Linked DNA regions of Oryctolagus cuniculus. The protein of the gene in region 2 purifies or fractionates together with the protein of the main gene of each other region. This does not show direct contact. Links are inferred from orthologs where the notes say so. Each region holds a gene or a part of one and is shown on either strand. Other genes may lie near its edges.

What was found. The genes of interacting proteins can lie anywhere in the genome.
Region 1: the proteins of ATP1A1 (region 2) and RHOA purify together in Homo sapiens (affinity purification with mass spectrometry; 3 studies listed by BioGRID and IntAct, with this or other methods). This does not show direct contact. The link is inferred for Oryctolagus cuniculus from reciprocal best matches to the Homo sapiens genes ATP1A1 and RHOA.
Region 3: the proteins of ATP1A1 (region 2) and HADHB fractionate together in Homo sapiens (co-fractionation; 3 studies listed by BioGRID, with this or other methods). This does not show direct contact. The link is inferred for Oryctolagus cuniculus from reciprocal best matches to the Homo sapiens genes ATP1A1 and HADHB.

What each region holds. Positions count from the first base shown.
Region 1 is NC_091441.1:99,831,127-99,835,257, reverse strand, and holds the start of RHOA (transforming protein RhoA), read right to left. Parts: upstream 2,801-4,131; 5' UTR 2,524-2,800; intron 1-2,523. Other genes in the region: TCTA (T-cell leukemia translocation-altered gene protein), read left to right, coding at 3,130-3,352, 3,683-3,737. UniProt on the Homo sapiens protein: Small GTPase which cycles between an active GTP-bound and an inactive GDP-bound state.
Region 2 is NC_091438.1:54,052,565-54,056,064, reverse strand, and holds part of ATP1A1 (sodium/potassium-transporting ATPase subunit alpha-1), read left to right. Parts: coding exon 1-94; intron 95-964; coding exon 965-1,157; intron 1,158-1,954; coding exon 1,955-2,130; intron 2,131-2,983; coding exon 2,984-3,120; intron 3,121-3,500. UniProt on the Homo sapiens protein: This is the catalytic component of the active enzyme, which catalyzes the hydrolysis of ATP coupled with the exchange of sodium and potassium ions across the plasma membrane.
Region 3 is NC_091433.1:176,562,780-176,566,867, forward strand, and holds the start of HADHB (trifunctional enzyme subunit beta, mitochondrial), read right to left. Parts: upstream 2,801-4,088; 5' UTR 2,564-2,800; exon of another isoform or gene 2,303-2,563; intron 1-2,302. Other genes in the region: HADHA (trifunctional enzyme subunit alpha, mitochondrial), read left to right, coding at 2,962-3,028. UniProt on the Homo sapiens protein: Mitochondrial trifunctional enzyme catalyzes the last three of the four reactions of the mitochondrial beta-oxidation pathway.

The DNA.
Region 1 (4,131 bases), on a different chromosome or scaffold from region 2:
CCTGGCTGCTCCACTTCTGATCCAGCTCCCTGCTAATGTGCCTGGGAAGGCAGTGGAGGATGGTTCAAGTGCTTAGGCCCCTGCCACCCACCAGGGAGACCTGGACAGAGTTCTAGGCTTCCCACTTTGGTCCAGCCCCACCCCAGACGTTTTAGCCATTTGGGAAGCCAACCAGCAGATGGAAGATTTCTTTTTCTAACTCTGCCTTGCAAATACATAAATATGTATTTTTAAAATCTTAAAAAAAAATAAAGACAATTAAGAAGACCCAAAGTAGCAACTAACCACTTGCATATCACCCTATCGACAACACACACCTAAGATCTGCCCGTTTTTACTTTCCTAATAACTCACGCCCCCATATACCTAGGATAAACTTTTAAAACTTAACTGGCTGACAGCATAGGAACCAAAACTATGAAAATACTCTAACAAAAACCACCACAACACACATGTGCACAGGGGACTGTTACCCTGATATGTACAGTTCCTTCCTCAGCCTGCCCCTATCAGGAGTCAGCAAAAGAGCCCGCAGTTGTCTGAAAACATCTCAGCCTGACCTCATTAGGCTGGTTCTGGAGCAGCCAGGCCTGGGCCTCTCTCCGGAAATTGGTCGCTTGAGACCCAAACACCTAAAGCCAGGAATAGGCAGCCAAGGACCTTGCAGGTATATTCAGGTATTTCTCACAAGTGACTGCAGCGGAACCATCCCGTTACGGAGAGTGCTGTGACAGCTAAGGAACTGAAATTTGGCTGGCAAATCAATTTTCACATTCTCCCAATCTATGTAAAGTCAGCAAGGTATAAAAGAAAAAACGGTAGAGTAAGTCCCAAAGTTTAGCTGACTCTAGTCCAGCTGTTTGGGAGTGTATTTGAGAATATCCTGCAGAGCAAACAGTTCTGGCCTGCTTCTAGCTAGATAATACCAGTATGATCCTGCTTAATTAAGTCTCTGGGACTCAGTTTCCTCATCTGCAGATGTGATTGGACTACATGATTTTAATTCATTTTAGTACTAGGTCTATGAAGATAATTGATCGATGTTATAATCCTACTCTATTCTCTCCAGTACAGATTTTTATGAGGACAGTAAACCTAGTACTAGACTTTGACTAAAACCAAGTTCCATCTTACATATTTTATGTCCCCAAGAGCCATAAAGTGCTCTACAAAAGTAGATGGAACTAACCTAAACCTAACCTAAACTTTTAGAATTGATTTGGACTTGATGGACTGCTATAGACAACACATTGGGTCCAACTGCATTATGGCTACTAGTGACAATGACAAGTGGCATAGACTCACAGGAGTCTAAAATTCACCTTAGATTTGTAGTTTTAAAGGGTCTCTAGAAATTTATCAAGAGATGCTTCAATTAAGGACTAGTCTTTGTAAGTTTCAGCCCAAACAATGTCATTTGTGCCACATACAACATCTCCACCAACCCAGCCTGGGTGTGTGACACTAAGTGGCTGAAAAAGTCTCACCATATACACCATTTTAAAATATGGAGGTTTGGGGCTTTGACATTTTTTTCCCCTTCAGATTTGGCAGAGAGGAATCTAATCTGATTGCACACCTGCAAGACACATTTACTTCAAAAGATCGTCTTAAAGGCAGAAATAACCGAACAAGTGACCAACAGAGTCTAACATTTTGAGAACAGGACTACTAGGAAACACAACAGGAAGCAACACGGAGGTAAAAAGGATGCAAGCTTCCACCAGAAATGACAAAACACTGCATTTAACGAAATCGACCTGGGGGCAAACAATGCTATTTAATGCAGACACCCTGTAACTGTGTATCCTATCCAAAACCAGGGGCAGATGTTTAGGTGAGTCCCAATAAAAGGCAGCAACTTCCACAGGCAAAACTACCTGCATTTTAATGCAACGTTGTTTAAATCATTAAAAATTTTCAACTGGAAAACACCCTTTTCCGCCCCAATTCAGGCAGCAGTCCTAAGACCTCAACACAAGCTTTTTTACTTAAGACTCTCTCCAAGCATACCGCATCAAAAAAAAAAAAAAAAGGCAAATCTATTCAAAGCACAGCCGGACTTCTGCATAAAACGGTGATTCATGTGCTACAGCAGATGGAAAAGGTAAAATGGAGTTGTAAAGAGTTTCTCTCCCGTTTCAACTCCGACAGCCACGAGCGCTCTGCGGCTGCCGGCTGCGCCGCGCCGCGCGGCCAGGAGCCCCCGCCCAGCCCCGCGCGGCCGTGAGAGAGGAAGCTCCGGGGCGGGCGGGCGGCTGGGGCTCCAGCAGGCCCGGCCGGGCGGGGGAAGGGGCGCTGGAGGCGGCGGGGCGCGCTTCCGGGGCCGGCGCGGGCGGGGCCGCGGGAGCGGGGCGCGGGCCCCGGGCTGGAGTGAGGGTCAGGGGCCGGGGGCGGCCGGGCGGGAGCAGCAGGTGGGGCGCGGCCGCGGCGGGGCGGCGGGGCGGCGGGCGGGCGGGCGGCCGGAAAAGTGCCGGGCGGGCGGGCGGGCCCGGGGCGCCAGGAGGGGATCCTCCCGCTCACCTCGGGCGACGACTCCGAGTCCGGCCTCTTCGCGCCGAGGACGCCTGTCCGCGAGTCGCAAGCTCGGAGACGAGGGCGGGTAGCTGAGGCGGCGACGGCGGACTACCGAGAGAACCGACGGAGGACGGCGGGTGGCGGGCGGGGAGCGCGAGCGAGCGAGGGCGGGCGGCGGCGGGAGGGCGGGGAGCGACGTGCGCGTCCCCGAGCGCCCAGCGGGCTCGAGCCGGCCCTGGTCGCGGCCCCGCGCGCGCGCGCACACTCACATCTCAGCCACGATAGCTCAGGCGCGCGTCCACGCCCTAAAAGCAAGACGCTCAACCAATCATTACAGCCGCGTGGGGCATCACGGGAACTCTGGGGCTATAAAAGACCCGGTTGCTATTTTATACTCCGGGAGTCACTCATGCTTTAAGGGAGTAGGGTGGGGCTAAGTGCGCGTGCGCGGTTTTAATACTCCTCCCTAAACTGCCAACTCTTCGCCCAAGCGAGGTAGGCCCGCCCTGCCTGGTTCTACGCGTGCGCACTAACGGGCCTAGCCCCGGAAGACCTTACGCCTGCGCGGTGTGCACTACGGTGACAGTACCCCGGGTGGGGCGCGGGCCGGTCATGGCGGAGTCTTGGTCTGGACAGTCTTTGCAGGCTCTGCCGGCCACGGTGCTAGGCGCGCTGGGCGCGCTGGGCAGCGAGTTTCTGCGGGAGTGGGAGGCGCAGGACATGCGTGTGACCCTCTTCAAACTGCTGCTGCTGTGGTTGGTGTTAAGTCTCCTGGGCATCCAGCTGGCGTGGGGGTTCTACGGGAACACGGTGACCGGGTTGTATCACCGCCCAGGTGAGGCTCCCTATGAACCTCCGTGAGCTGGCCGCCCCCGCCCCCACCAGACTGAACCATTGGGTTCCTCAGAATCCCCCTAGACTACCAGAAGTCCACCAAGATCGTCAGAACTTAGTATTTTACCCTGACCTATGCTATCATACCGTATCATTTTATGCCAGAATCCCCACCGCTCCGCCCATCACGTTGTAACTGATCTCTAGAACCGTCACCAGACTCAGGACCCCTGGCAGATTCCACTAGCGGCCCCTACCCTGAATTGGGCTGATGCTTGCCCAGATCCCCACCCCCAGTCTACTGCAGCTCTGGCTGTGTTCCTGCCTTCAGGTCTGGGCGGCCAGAATGGATCCACACCTGATGGCTCCACACATTTCCCTTCGTGGTGAGTAGATCCGTCCCCCATCCCAGCCCCATGCATGGCAGGCAGAGAACACGCCCGTGCTGGTGATGGGGTGGGTAGTTGTCAGGGCACAAATCCAGCAGCACAGTGGCCTTGGCAGCAAGCTTCAGGTCTGCATGTAGAGGTCAGGGTTTAGGCTGGGCTGACACCAAGGTCTGGAAAGTCCATCAGCACTTGAGCTGTCCGGGGGTGGGGGGGTGGTACTGTCATAATTTCAGAAAGATGAACTAACAGATCTTCTGGATCCCACTCCCTGTAAGCCTCAGTTGGGAAGGCAGGAGCCGCTGTACTTAGCCCACCAACTGACCTCACTAGGGTCATTTATAAAACTAATCTCTGATGGGGGCTATGGAAGACCCAGAAAACAATGACAACC
Region 2 (3,500 bases):
ATGCATCGAGCTGTGCTGCGGTTCCGTGAAGGAGATGAGGGAGAGATACACCAAAATCGTCGAGATACCCTTCAACTCCACCAACAAGTACCAGGTCTGGAGGGCTTGGAGCTCGTGTGGTGGCTGCAGGTGCACAAGCCAGGAGAAGCAGTCCCCTACCTACTGGAGTTTTGCAGGGTTTAACTTTAAATTTGACCCTTGACTTGTATATGGAAAATCTTAATTTATTTGAATATCAGTAGCTGGCATAAATGAATGCTCTTCCAGACCATTGTTTGGGCTGTATCGGAATTTTTACTTAGGATCCGGTGGGGGGGGGTGGGTTTGGGGGGAGAGGCTAGGAGTGTGGGCGTGACAATCATTTTGTATGCAAGTTTGTTTGTTTGTTTAAGATTTATTTATTTATTTGAAAGGCAGAGAGACAGAGGCAGGGAGAGAGAGATCTTCCATCCACTGGCTCATTTCCCCAAATGGCTGCAACAGCCAGAACTGGGCTTATCCAAAGCCAGGAGCCAGGAGCTTCTTCCAGGTCTCTCACACGGGTGCAGGGGCCCAAGGACTTGGGCCATCTTCTTCTACTGCTTTCTCAGGCCTTAGCAGAGAGCTGGATCAGAAATGGAGCAGCCAGGACTCGAACTGGCGCCCTTATGGGATGCACGCACTGCAGGCGGCAGCTTTACCTGCTACACCACAGCGCCAGCCCCTAAAATTTGCTGGAGGGAGGTTTTCTATGAGGACATGTGTCAGGAACTTATGTATATAGCATGATGCCCGTTGACTCTGCAGTAGCCAAGGTGTGCTGCTGTCATTCAGAGTTCAGAAGGAAAGAATAATAGCGTTGGTTGGTTCGGTTTGGTTTGGTTTTGAAAAAAAAGCAATCCTAAACAGTAGGTGGAGCTTTGTTTTCCTCCCTGGACTGCCGTATTCAGCCATCTAACGTGTGCATCTGAATCACCTTTCCCAGCTGTCCATTCATAAGAACCTCAACGCCAATGAGCCACGGCACCTGCTGGTGATGAAGGGCGCTCCAGAAAGGATCCTGGACCGGTGCAGCTCTATCCTCTTGCACGGCAAGGAGCAGCCCCTGGACGAGGAGCTGAAGGACGCCTTTCAGAACGCCTACCTGGAGCTGGGGGGCCTCGGCGAGCGAGTGCTAGGTACGCAGACACACCTGCTGACTCGCCCATGGCCGCCATCCCAGGACACAGAAGGGACGTCTCCAGGATCTTGACTCCGGGCTTCATTGTGATCCTGGATGATAAACCTTGGGCTCAGAAGGTGTCTGCTCTTTACTCAGCCTTGGGGTGTCCAGCGTGGACCCTGCACACTGGTGCTTGGGTTCATATTTCGATTAAGTGAACAAGTAAGCAGAGAAGTAGCCCTGGGGTAGCAGAAACAGGTAATTATAAGGTTTGCCAGACCTAAACACCCTATCATCAGGGAGTGGCTCTGAAGCCTAGGTATCAGTGCTGTCCATTCAGTCTTCTCCATGTTAAACAGTTCCCAGTTCTTTGAGGTTTGGTAATGGAATCTGACTTTCAGATGTTTGGTTCTTTTCTCAGACTCTGTATCATTCATGGATATGAAACAAAACACTCATTGATTGTAAAACTAGACTTTGGGGGCCAGCGTGCTGGGGCAGAGGTTCAAGCCTCTGCCTGAGATGCTGACATCCCCTGTGAGCGCCAGTTTGAGTCCCGGCTGCTCCACTGCTGACCCAGCTCCCGGTTAATCTATGTGGGAAAGCAGCAACAGATGGATCCCTGCCACCCACATGGAAAACGTGGATGGAGTTCCAGGCTCTTGGCTTCCACCTGCCCCAGCCCGGGCCGCTGCGGTCATCTGGGGAGTGAAGCAGTGGCATCCCGGAACAGGCAGATGTGGGCAGCTGGCTGCTACCAGCCTCATACCTCCTGCAGTGTAGACACGCTCACAGGCCCCTGCTCTCTCGCAGGGTTCTGCCACCTTCTTCTGCCAGACGAACAGTTCCCTGAAGGATTCCAGTTTGACACCGATGAAGTGAACTTCCCTGTCGATAACCTCTGCTTTATCGGGCTCATCTCCATGATCGACCCTCCACGGGCGGCCGTCCCCGATGCCGTGGGCAAGTGCCGCAGTGCTGGAATTAAGGTAGCACCCGCCGGGGACGCTTGCTCTTTTCTCCCCTGGAGGGCTAACTTCTCTTCTCCAGAGCCTTGGTTGTACGAGAGAAACCAAATAGTACTGAAATGCGGGTCTGAACAGCAGATGAGGGATTAGAGAAAACCCACGTTCCTAAAGAGGAAATGCGGGCGAAGGGAATAGAGCAAAGGCCTGGAGTACAACCGGGACTGCTCCGTTACTGAGCTGCTACCCTGCGCGCCGATGGCGTCTGCTCAGGTCTCGGTGGAGCTGATGGTCCGTGGGTGTCTGGTGTGCTCTGACTTCTTTTTCGAGTAGCTGACTGTGACTCAGGTGTCCTGCCAGCTCCCTGTTGGATGTTTGTGTCCCCAGGCTTTCATACTCAGGAGTCATACTGCCCTGAAAGGCTTCGTAGAAATGATTTCCCTACAGTTGCACTGTTTCTTTGAGACTGTATTCTTCCAAGTATAAGCACTGGATCGATAACAAGTTTGAATTCTTGTTACCTCCTGCTCTCCTCCCCGCCCTCTGCCTCAAATTGGGTCGATTTGAGAATGCTGACTAGTGATACGTGGCCCCTTGGAGGCCCACTAGTGTCCGTCTTCCCTTTTTGCTGGTTTTAGAGGTTGAGTATTTTTATGTGGCTGTGTAAAAGGGGAAGCAGATAGGTTGTGCGCTCACGCACCGAGTCTTTGGCTGGATGTTTGCTTTCTGTGAATGCGATGCTTGTGTTTTGACTCGCTGATGTTGATCGGTTTTATGTTTGCAGTCTTTGCCTTTGGCTACTCGGCTGAATCTCCTGCCGCTCATTCCTGCCCACCTGCAAATAAGACTTTTTACACTGTCCTGTCTCCTACCGCAGGTCATCATGGTCACGGGAGACCATCCCATCACAGCCAAAGCCATCGCCAAAGGTGTGGGCATCATCTCTGAAGGCAATGAGACCGTAGAAGATATTGCTGCCCGCCTCAACATCCCAGTGAGCCAGGTGAACCCCAGGTAAGGCGGGGAGCCCGAGGCACAGCCTGCCGTGGACGTGCAGGCAGGGGTAGTCTGAGATCTGTGCCCTGGTTCCGTACTGGTTTGCTTGCAGGCTTGTCTGAGTAGGGAATGTGCCTGCGCTCAGAGAGCAACTTTGCAGACCCTAGGGAGAGCTTCAGTCCGAGCAGGTCGTAGTGAGTGACACCTGAAGGGTGTGCCGTGCCCGGAGGGCTTTTAAGAATAGATGTTTCAGGGCTCCACCACACTGAGTAGGGAGGCTGAGGCCTGGGGAGCTTCAAAGTGCAGAACTGGCCAAGGCATGCAATGAATTGGGCAATTGCTTCCAATGTCACGCTACACTGAGCTCTGCTGCCTGTCACCCAGCACCTGTTCAGTTT
Region 3 (4,088 bases), on a different chromosome or scaffold from region 2:
GGGGGCGGCTAAGCAAGCAGCAGAAGCCAAGGCTCATTATTGCAACATCATCAAGACACAATGTAATAGCTACCAGCAACCCTCTCAAACCAGGCCAAGTCAAATCCTGGCTCCATCAGAACCGTGTGGCTTCACCTTCCTCTTGGAGCCTTTAGGTATGGATGGAGATAATCTTATTAACCACCTGGAAGGGCTGCTATGAGTGAATACGCAGCCACGTACAACTTGGCCTGACATGCTGCTACCCAGGTATTTGCTTCATCTTAGCAGTGGTTATTCAAATACACTTAGTATCCCTGGGAGACCAGGACACATTCTAACACTTCAGCCCTGAGGGAGTTTACAATTTTGCTGAGAGTTCAGGGCATAAAATGGTGAAGCCAAGAGGGTGATCTATGTCAGAGGCTGGCAAGCTACAACCCATGGGCCTCTAGCTAGCAAGTTGTACACACCTCCAGAGTTGTCAGCAAACAGTATCTTACACTGACAACCGTACCCTTGCAAAGTGCCAACTGCAATCTGGCCCTTTACATAAAAAACTGCTACTCTTGATCTATGTAATCAAGACAGCAGGCAACTGGATACAGAAGATACGTGGGCAGGAGGCAGGCTACAGAACCCCCAAAATCTCATGATGTCATCAAGAAACCTTCTTGGGGTCAGCGCTATGGTGCAGCAGGTTGAAGCCCTGGCCTGAAGCGACGGCAACCCATATGGGTGCTGGTTCTAGTCCTGGCTGCTCCTCTTTCGATCCAACTCTCTGCTATGGCCTGGGAAAGCAGTAGAAGATGGCCCAAGTGCCTGGGCCCCTGCACCCACATGGGAGACCCAGAAGAAGCTCCTGGCTCGTGGCTTCGGATTGGCTCAGCTCCAGCTGTTGTGGCCATTTGGGGAGTGAACCAGCGGATGGAAGACTTTCTCTGCTTCTGCCTCTCTGTAACTCTGCCTTTCAAATAAATAAATAAATCTTTTTTTTTTTTTTTGACAGGCAGAGTTAGACAGTGAGAGAGAGAGACAGAGAAAGGTCTTCCTTCCGTTGGTTCACCCCTCAAATGGCCGCTATGCCCGGCGCCGCACTGATCTGAAGCCAGGAGCCAGGTACTTCCTCCTGGTCTCCCATATGGGTGCAGAGCCCAAGCACTTGGGCCATCCTCCACTGCCTTCCCTGGCCACAGCACAGAGCTGGACTGGAAGAGGAGCAACCGGGACAGAATCCGGCGCCCCAACCAGGACTAGAACCCAGGGTGCCGGCACCGCAGGCGGAAGATTAGCCAAGTGAGCCGCGGCACTGGCCAAATAAAATAAATCTTAAAAAGAAAAAGACCCTTCTTACAATTTACTCAGAAGTGGTTATCCAATTTCTGTTTAAAAGGCTAGGCTCACAGAGCTGGAGAACTCATTTCAAATAAAGATTTATTTTATTTGAATAGCAGCATTACAGAGAGTGGGCGGGGGTGGGGGGGAGGAATGAATCTATCTTCCTTCTGGCTCACTCCCTAAATGGCCACTACACCCAGGCTGGGCCATGCCAAAGCCAGCAAAGCCAGGAGCCCCATCAGGGTCTCCCCGTGGGTGCAGGGGCCCAAGCACTTGAGCTACCTCCTGCTGCCTTCCCAGCCCCATTAGCAGGAAGGTGGAGAGCCAGGACTCAAACTCGAGCCCAAATGGGACCTCAGGCGGCACCTGCTGTGCCACAACGCCGGCCGAGGGCTCACGATCTGACTTCATCTTAAGTTCCCTGCCCTTTCCCACCGCAGAAGCCTCCTTTCGGCGGGGTTCAGCTTCATATCCGAATCCTGGCAATCTGAATCCCGGCTCTGCCAAGAACCAAAAAATTTACATTCTCTCTCCGCGCCTCCCAAACTTCGTTTAGAAAAATGCAAAGGATAACAATGATTTTGGGATCGTGAGAACTAAACAAAATGGTGTCAAGGTGCCCTACAGGAGGCCACTAGTGTCACCTGCTTTTGAGGCCCATTCCCTTTAGAACACGATTCCAAGTCTCCTTTCCAGCAACAAAATAGCTGTCCCGCGATGCAGAGCTCTCGGGAAGAAGTTAAGACTGGGGCCCTGGTCTCACTTCTACCACCTGTGGCCAGAGAGTCACTCTGATCCGCTGGATTCAGTTCCTTCACCGATAAAGTGAGGGAGAGAATGACCAGAGGATCGCCGGGCCCCTCCTGGGTTAGAAAACCCCCGGAGCAACGGATCACCACGCAGGACCAAGGGCTGAGTCAGTTCCTTCCACCCTCATCCCAGCCCTTCCCCGAAATCGGGTGAAGCTGGCGAGCAAGGCACGCACCCCAACACGGCCCGGGCTTGAGGTCCCCACACACGCAAACAGCTCGTCGACTTGCGGTGGTAAATGAAGACGCGGGTGACAGGCTCAGAGCCAACCCAGACCCCTGCCCGATCTGCAGCTGGTGCCGTCTTCCTCCCTCCTCCTCCGAGCTCCCTTCAGCTCGCTCGACCGCGACTCTCCCGGGGGCGAGAGGCGGGCGCGGGCCGGGAGCTCGCCTGCGGGAAACGCTCTAAGCATAGCCGAGCACACGCCGCCGCTCACCTCAGTCGGTGTCGACGCGGATTCTCGCTCCGGGCAAGGTTCGGATCCAAGTACCAAGACTGTGCAGGACCCCGGGGCGGGTCCTGCCTAGAAAGGCCCCCTCGTCCCCGCCCGCGGGTCCGGCAGGCCTCACAGGCTGCCCGCTGCCCGCCTGACTGGAAAAACTCGACCCTCCGCCCCCTCCTCCCTGGGCCCCTGTTCTCCCGCGGAGAAAGCGTTCTTCCGACCCCGTTACCCGGGAACGAAGCGTAGGGTTACGGGGCCGGCGGCAGCCCGGCCTCTGATTTTTAGTCAGGCAGTTCTTCGGCCGCCTTGGCGTCCCTGCCACGGGAAGAAAAGTCCTCTGCCGCTCCGCCCCGGCTAGAAGCGCTTTCCACTTTTCGTCCTCTTAGCTCAAGATGGTGGCCTCCCGGGCAATTGGCAGCCTGAGCCGCTTCTCTGGCCTCAGGATCCTCCGCTCCCGAGGTGAGCCCTCTTTGAGGGTGCCCCCGAACGCAGGGTGGAATTCCGGGGTCTGGGGCGGCCCCGTGCCGCGGCTGCCTGGTGTTCCTTCGGGCCCGCAGTCGCCGGGGGCCCAGCCTTCGTCGGGGGGGATACTGCCCTGGGACCCCGTTTGCTGTGTCCTTGCGGAGGGGCTGTCTCTCCTGCCTCCCGTGTCGGTCCTGCGGGCTTGTCAGGCTCTGCAGCCCCTGGGTTTCTGAGTCCTCTTCACCCGGCCCGGCGCCTTTTCCGCAGGGCTCGCGGGCTGCACTTGCGGGCTCACGCCCCTCTTGCTTGCGTTGGTGTTGGTCTTAGACCAGGTGCGACTAGACTGGGAGCTCCAGGAGCACCCGGACCCAGGCTGTGGCGTCTTTGTGCCCCCACGGGCAACTTGCTTCCTGCTTGGATGTCTTTAATACCAGCCTAGGAGATCGCGGCCGCTCCCCTAATCTTTACATCACAGCCATTTTTTAAAAAAAATTATTTCTACGTTTCAGTAGGGAGCATAACTCTTGCAGTTCTAGTACTTACAGTGTTGATAGAGAGTATGTTGAATTTGAGGCTCTGAACTTACTGGAAGGGACATTTTTAAGGTATGCAAATAGCTAGAGTTCTTAAGGAATAAAATGTTAAGTCGTGTAAAGAACTGGCTCTAGTCTTGTTTGTGACTGTTCCCGGCTAGCCTATATTAACAATATTGTCCTTTTCTCCTCGGGCTGGTATTAAAACGATTAAAGTGGGTGGTTGTCTAAAACCTAGCCTTTTCCTTCCACCCCAAGTCTGTAAGGTCAGGCGTAACTTTTTATTGCGTGTTGTATGTTATGTCAGTTACTCAATTAGACATTTTTACTTTTAGCTTAATTTGTAATATGAATTCCTTTCCTTACTCCTGAACCAAGGGGGAGCATGCTTTTATTATTATTATTTTCTTAAAGACAGGTAGCTGGAGTCTTCCCTTGCTGAAAGGGATTCGTCGAATGCGTGAATCTTGTTCTACTCATGTTTTTAGTCTCCGCAGGACTGTCATGTGTTATTCCAATCGTAG